Schizosaccharomyces pombe: one gene and its partner. The main gene of each other region encodes a partner of the protein of the gene in region 2 in a complex. Each region holds a gene or a part of one and is shown on either strand. Other genes may lie near its edges.

What was found.
Region 1: moe1 (region 2) and int6 share a complex: the UniProt entries of both Schizosaccharomyces pombe proteins name them as parts of the eukaryotic translation initiation factor 3 (eIF-3) complex.

What each region holds. Positions count from the first base shown.
Region 1 is NC_003423.3:938,399-942,155, forward strand, and holds int6 (translation initiation factor), read right to left. Parts: upstream 1,911-3,757; 5' UTR 1,864-1,910; coding exon 1,830-1,863; intron 1,774-1,829; coding exon 302-1,773; 3' UTR 223-301; downstream 1-222. Other genes in the region: U3 snoRNP protein Nop56, read right to left, coding at 2,427-3,757. UniProt on the Schizosaccharomyces pombe protein: Component of the eukaryotic translation initiation factor 3 (eIF-3) complex, which is involved in protein synthesis of a specialized repertoire of mRNAs and, together with other initiation factors, stimulates binding of mRNA and methionyl-tRNAi to the 40S ribosome.
Region 2 is NC_003424.3:4,550,272-4,554,028, reverse strand, and holds moe1 (translation initiation factor eIF3d), read right to left. Parts: upstream 2,190-3,757; 5' UTR 2,179-2,189; coding exon 475-2,178; 3' UTR 288-474; downstream 1-287. Other genes in the region: gmh5 (alpha-1,2-galactosyltransferase), read right to left, coding at 3,060-3,757. UniProt on the Schizosaccharomyces pombe protein: mRNA cap-binding component of the eukaryotic translation initiation factor 3 (eIF-3) complex, which is involved in protein synthesis of a specialized repertoire of mRNAs and, together with other initiation factors, stimulates binding of mRNA and methionyl-tRNAi to the 40S ribosome.

The DNA.
Region 1 (3,757 bases), on a different chromosome or scaffold from region 2:
CATGTTGAGATAGCGGCATTAATACTTTTGCATTAATTATTTATTTTTTATGCACTTCAGAAAATAAAAAAATTTTAGATAATATATATTTTTTTAATATCCCCGCATGTTTCAAATTTCCAAAATTAATATACTAATAGCGATATTCAATGAGCACGTTTCTTTAAATAGGAAAGTACACAGTCATCTTCTACAATAACGAGTTGTTTGAAAATACAAAATTAGCGAATTAATTAAACTCCTATGTTTTATTTTTAATGTATGAAATATATTCCACCTTTAAACTATTTGCTAATCTTGTCTAAACAGTAGCATGCTTTAACTCCGAAATGCTTTTAGCAAGAGATTGCTCCAAGTTTTGACTTTCAAAACTTAATGACTTTGTACGGTCTATAATCTGTTGGAAAGCTGAATAAGTAGGGTGTTCAATTATTATTGATTCACCGTCCAACTTAGCTTTAAACCCAAATTGTACCTCGGGTTCGGGCTCTTCGGCTTCAGTAGCAGTTTCGGCTTCCGTGATTAAATCATCAGCAACAACATTTGTAGAGGTAGATTCAATACTTTCATCTTCAGTACTTTGATCGGCAGCTACATTAGAAGCTGCGGCAACTGAAGGATTATTACGGTTTTCAACAAGTTGTATTAATTGAGCACTGTCCATTTCCAGCTTGTTAGCAAGCACATCAACACTTATGACACTGTGAATACGGCAATATGCCTCAGCAAGTAATTTGCGAGCACCTTCCAAAAAGTGATCGCACAAAGATACGAGAAAAAAGTCGGTTTTCAAAACCTCTTCACATTCTCTGAGGCAATGCTGAGCTTTTTCAAAGTCGACCTCAGTATACAAAGCAGAAATAAAAGAGGTCACAGGATCGCTGTATTCATAGTTTTCTTGGCTAATGATGCGTACGAGATCTCGCATCCTTCTTTGATAAGATTGCCTAGGGTTACGAGGTTTTTGATTTGCATTATTTTGGTTAGTAACAACAGCGACAGTCAAATATCTTAATAGCCAGGGACAAGAGGTTTGGATGGTGTTGAGATAAGGAGTATAGAAGAACAAATCACAAAGAGTATCACAACCATTTGCATGATTAAACAAAGGAAACAAGGACCAGTGGAGGAGCCAAGTTCGATTTCTCAATTGAACAGCAGAATCTTTAAAGCTTTTGGAGTCCACCATTTCGCGAAGTTTTCCCAATTCCTCCATAGCCCCATCCCAATCAACAGTCAAAATTTCAGAAGCAAATTTACCCCAGGTCGCGGAGGCGTTTAATTCAGGGTCTTTACTGAAGGCACGAAAATGATAAAGTAAATCTGATGCACCACCGTAGTTTCCACAATTATATTGAAATTGAGCAAACTTGTAAAGAACAGCTATACGTTCAGGGGTAATGTTGTAATGTTCTTGTAGGTGTTGTAAATTTTGACCTTTATCTTGACGAAGAGCTGCAATCAAGTCAGGATTTTCTAAGACACCTAAAATTCCTTGAACCTCTTCTTCAAGTTCAGAGAGCTCTTGCAAAACACTGCGTCGCTTTTCAGCAAAAGCATTTGCCATGTCCTCGTCGGTATGACCCCCATGAAGATTAGTCCACAAGTTGGCCACATAATCAGTCATATTGGTATCTTTAAGCAAATCATACTTAGCTTGTAAAAGCTCCTTTGGATCATGAGTCTGTCTTAAAGATAAAAATTCCAATAGAGGAAAAATGAGATGGCGGTCAAGGTGTTGCATAATTTTTTGCGACAAATCATACTTGACCGCTATAAAGGTTAGAAAACATTCTCCTGTATTTAAAAATAAATCTAAATTAGCTTACCTAAAGGGCTTGTACTCTTAAGCTCGGATCCCATATCTGATATGTTTCACGCAAAAAAAAAGTGCGTGGTGTGGGGAGGATAGCACAACTCACCCAAAACTCTAGTAGTAGCCCCCTTAGACTACAGTACTGAAAAGCAATATGACAATAGTAGGTCAGCAATGTTCGTACAAAAAATATTAAATTCCTTAATGATATTTTTGCTTTTTTTAACCAATAGTTTTTCATAAAACTAATTAAGCTCGAACTTACTACCAGCTAATGTAAATCAATGTGTAAGACAAATTTTTATCCGATTCTTGATCTTTACTTAAATTGTAATTATTGTCAAATACTGGTTTCTAATATTTTTTTAACTTTCGATATAAATAGCACTTCTTATACGAATAATACATAAATGCTACTTAATAAAATGTAAATGCTTACTAAGAGATAAGTTTTACACGTCCATCCATCAAAATGATAAGCTCGATATCAATCGATTTAGTAATATTACAGTATTTACGCCCATAATCTATAGCAAATTTTTCAATTACAAGTTGTTCTAAATATGCAAGAGCAATATGGTCCCCGTTATATCCTAATAAAAATAACGTCTCAATGGCTCTTCTTTTTCTTCTTACTTTTCTTGACTTCTTCTGATGCATCATCGGCAGAACGCTTTTTCTTAGACTTCTCCTTTTTCTTCTCCTTCTTGTCTTTCTTTTCTTTCTTGCTCGGCTTTTCTGAAATGGTTTCAACAGTCTCTTCAACGTCAATGTCAACCTCCTCGTCTCCGTCTATGTTAACACTCGATAATGCCTTTTCATAAGCTTCTGCCATTGCAATACTATTGCGAGTAGGGGCGACACCGGTATCGAAAAAGTTGAGACGTTCCTCGACTTGTCGACGAAGAACTTGACCAAATGCCGTAGTTGGGGCATCGCTAAAGTTATCAATACGGCTAGCAATAGAACATTTGTTAGCCAAGAAACGAGAGATGCGGCCTTTGTTTTTAGCGCCAGCTTTTCCAATAAAACTAGAATGGTAAATAATACCGTATTTAGGCGTGTTTCCACGGGTTTTCAGAGCACGGAACAAAGCCTTTTCAGCACCTAGAATCTGTACCGTAGAAGCCGGGCATTTTGACAAGTTAGTTAGACTTCCGGCATGAGAAATCAAACGAGCACCAACCATCTCACCAATTAATTCAGCAAGATTGGGAGCAACAACATTCATCTTCTGAACCAAATAGTTATGTAGCTGTTTACGATAATTACTAAGTTTAATAACACGTTCAGCAAAAGATAGAATATTCTCGAGGTCAATTTCAGAGATATCTTGTCCCATAGACACTTTACCAGCGTTGATTATACTTTGAGCAATATCTTTGTCATCGTCTACAACGGCTGCCAGATCATGAAGCATTTCGTCGTTAATGGTGGTTTTATCACCAACCAGTGTAACAATAACAGCGTATTTGTAATTGTCTCCAACGATCTTCGAAAGCTCAGGGAAATGCCAAGAATACCACTCTTTCATGCGCATAGCGAAAGTATTAATGTCCTTGTCAAGTTGATCAAGGATAGCAATAGCTTGGATAATCATGTTGTCATTTCTGTTAACATTGAACTTCACTTTTGCGCGAGAGTATGAATGTCCTAAACCAAGCTGAGCCCTTTCGAAATCACCGGGTGATAGTTGCTTGAGAAGTTTATCACCATGAAAACGAATACCACGGAGAAGATCCTGGGTAAGCTCAGAAGTGTCACATTCAATGGCATCAATTTCGGATTTAATAGACGTTGCTAAATTTTTGTCTTGGACTCCCAGAGACACCTTTTTCTTCTTTGAGGCTTTCGGCAAATTGAGTTCCAAAAAGTTTTTCAAAAAATCATTCAAAACGCCTTCAGAAATGTCGTTGGCATTTTCCAAAGCATGGGCAGCAT
Region 2 (3,757 bases):
CGTATGGTAAATTATAAGTGTAATCCGGTGTAAATTCTCTTCAAACGAATTTTTGCTAAAAGCTTTACCTCTTGTTTTACCACAATATTCTGACTAAGCTTGAAACCGTTTTACGATCTCTTGGCTAGTGGCAATGAGCTATATCGGTTTTCTACTAATCGAGTTCTAATTTTTTTACCGTAATACCCTAAAGTGTGTTAAAAGCAATGTTCATGAAAAAAATCACGTTGGAAGCATCGAAAATCAGATATTTCCAAATGAATTAAACGGCACTTAATTTTCCTTCGCTTCATTTTTACTATTCCAACAAATACATTACTTTACACTTAGCTTCTAATTTACCGAGAAACAGTTCATAAGATTAAAAAATAAAGAAACCGAAAATATAAAACCGATTTAAAGATCTTAGATTTGCACATGTAATTGAGTATTATACATGTAACCTTTTTAATGAACTTTCTACATCCGTCCTTTTTAAGCAGTAGAAGAAGCTTCAAGGGAGGGTCCAGCAGCTTCTTCAAAAGTGTTGGGTGGAACAGAGTACAAGCGTAAAATAGGTCTGTTGGGATCCTTTACAAGGACATATTTTCCATCAGGCATTTTCAAACAGACATCTGCAATAGTACGAACAATACCCCAACCATTAGACAAACTTAAGTTCATTTGGGAAGCCAAATCAGCAGGCTTATAAGCTACAACACCCAAAATGCCGTGGTGCTGAGCGTCACGGGCATTTGAACGACTGACAAAACCAACCTTCATGCTATCAACACCAGCCAATAAAGCTTCGACAGTCCAACGGGCAAGCTTGCAACTATTGTTCTTCATTTCAGTGGCAAACACAGCACCTCTTTGACTTTCGAGCTTGGAACGCCAATCCACAGAACCAGTAACATTTGTAAATTTGGGATCGTACTCATTAAGAGCCTTGATAGAAATGTATTGAACATCGTTCGCAGGATTTTTAACATAACCGTCAACTTCGGTACGAACCATTAGCTTAACAGGCTTTTCGTCTGTCTCGAGAGAAAGATCAACATCCCGATAGATATAACCGTGAGCAGCCAATGGCTCACTTTCTTCCTTAGAATTATAGAAGGGATTGGGATGAGGTAATTTATATTTCTCTTCTTCGGTTTCACGTAAAGCTTGGACGCAGAAGTTTTGGTTAATGTACGTAGCTTCGACAGAAAGGGCTCCAGGAGAATTAACACCTTCGCGGTTGTCAGCGTCCATGGGAGAATCGTATGCGTTTTCATTGACAGTGAGATAATCAAAAGGTCCGCCTTCACGTTTGTCAAAGAATAGCTTTCCACTTTGGTGAGTAATTACAATATCCCAGGGATACACTGAGCGAGTTGAACACATCAATAAAGACAAAATGGAATCCGTAATGAAAATGTTAGCATCACTATTAAGAGCGAGTTTTTGGATAACGGGGTCTTCAGTAGTGGTAGGGTTGTAATGAACACGGTCCAAGGCTTGTAATGGTTTTTCTGATTTAACATGAATCTTGTCAAAAGATTTGTCATAAGGATAAATATAACCATATGAATCCACAGTAACAGGAGCAGCAGCAGCTAAATTGAGCTTAGATAAATGGCTGAACTCAACCTCGTCAAGAAGCTGCCAGTCGTCACCAACAGTAACACTGGCGTTGCGAAGACGTTGATGTTTATCATAATCCTTCCAACCAAACCGACGACCTCTTGCTCCTCCAGCGCCTGAGGATCTAGAAACCACTGTATCACCTGCACCTCTTCCACCAGAAGAACCGTAGCGACCGCCACGACCACCTCGTTGAACGTTTTGTCCTCTACCGCGAACCTTCAATAAAGTGCCGCCGTTGCGAGCGGAAGTGCGTGTACGATTGACAGAACCACGATCGATCACCGAGAAACTGGATTCGTCCTCCGAATGCTGATAACCAAAAATGGACGACGCGCCATAACCATAAGTTTGATATTGGTCACGGAAACGACCAGCAAATGCTCCTTGACGTCCACGTTGTTCACGTCCATCTTTAGGTTGATCAACAGACCAATCTGCAATTTTTCCAAGACGGTCACCTTTACTAAAAGGAGCATAAGGAATATCACCTCCTATCTGTTCCGTTTCAGGAGGTCCCCATGCTGATTTTACGGGTGCTAACTCAGGCAATTTAAATCCAGTTGCCATTTGGGAGTGGTGAAGTTTTCTTCGAAGTGGACGCCAGTATAGTGTGCAAACGAACTGGGAGACGCTAAAACACCAAAGCCAACAATGGTAATATTTGAAGTTCTAAAGCTTTATTTGTAATACAAAAGTACTTAAATGTAATATATATACTTTTTGGTTCGTGAAAAAGTTAAATGTTATACATTTCCTTTTGCAATCAAGGTGCTATATTTGTAGAAAAACTACATCTATTAACAATTAGTATATGTTACTGTATTTATCAAACTACTTCTTTATTTGTGAACCCACATGCCTATTCAGAAGACGATATGTGGAAATCTCAACCACTCACTACATTATAAAACTATAGTAGGTAGAATTACTTTATCATACTAGCAGGTTATATCAGCACTAAATGTTATTAAATTAAAAAATGGGAGAAATTGATATTGAAATAAAAGATATGTTATGCTATAATTTAAAACTGATTACGACATCAGACTTTGCCTTTATAGTCATTGTCTCAAGGCTTAAATGTTTCTGACAAAAGCATGTTTTAGAAAATTTTAATTTCGTCAACGCTGTCTTTTGAAGAAAGAAAAAAATGAACGCCAAGGTTCTCAGACATTCTCTCTTTTCTGTCATCACATGTCGCATAAAAAATATACACATCTAATCCTATTAAAACAATTGTTTGCGAAGAAATTAATGTATAAAAACGGAAAGCACCAAATATTAAGCAGTGTTAAATGACCGCAAAAGCTGCTAAGTAGCAAAGGAGAGAGTTTAGTGCATCACATGATAAAGGATCGCATTGACAGCCTAGCACACGCAAGGAAAAAGAATGATAAAGTATGAATTTAAAATATTAATAATAATGATGGAAATATGTGAGGTCTCTATTAAAGAAACGGAACTAACTTCCTCCAACCCCGTTTTCTTTGCGCTAATCCCTTATAATGATTTATTTCATCTAGGCAGTCCCTTCCATAATTACAGCCTGCCAAGTTTACCAAGAAGTCTCCTTCTTTTTGGTTATAAAAGAAACGAGGATTTTCACCTTCACCAGCACAAGCACCTGGAGGATATGAATTGAAAAGGCGAAGAGGAACGAATCCCATGCCGCTTCGAAGCCAAGCATTATTCTCGTAGAAGTACTCAATTGCATTTTGCTCATCGTGAGGCCAATCCATGTGCTTTTGCCCATAGACTACTGGATCCCAAAGGAAGTCCATCAATCTGCTAGTCCAATCACTTCGACGAACCAGAAAAGAACCCAAACTGAAACCGTTGCAATCTTGCCCTAAAATAAAGTTGATATCTTCACTATAGTCAACAAATGGAATTTCGTGGAAATTTTTTGGATTGAACTCCATGCTATCAGTAATATTCCTGGTCGCAATATGGTCAAGTCTGTTAATAATAAGCTTTTCAAGAGAATATTGAGGTTCCATGATGAATGTTGTTAAATCGACCCACCAAAACCATTCAGCATGAGGGTATTTCTTCATGGCTTCCATGATATAATCTGCTTTTTCCCAAGATTCACGCCATTCATGAGCATATCGTCTCTTTAAGCCTGTGCTCTTCACAAAGAAAT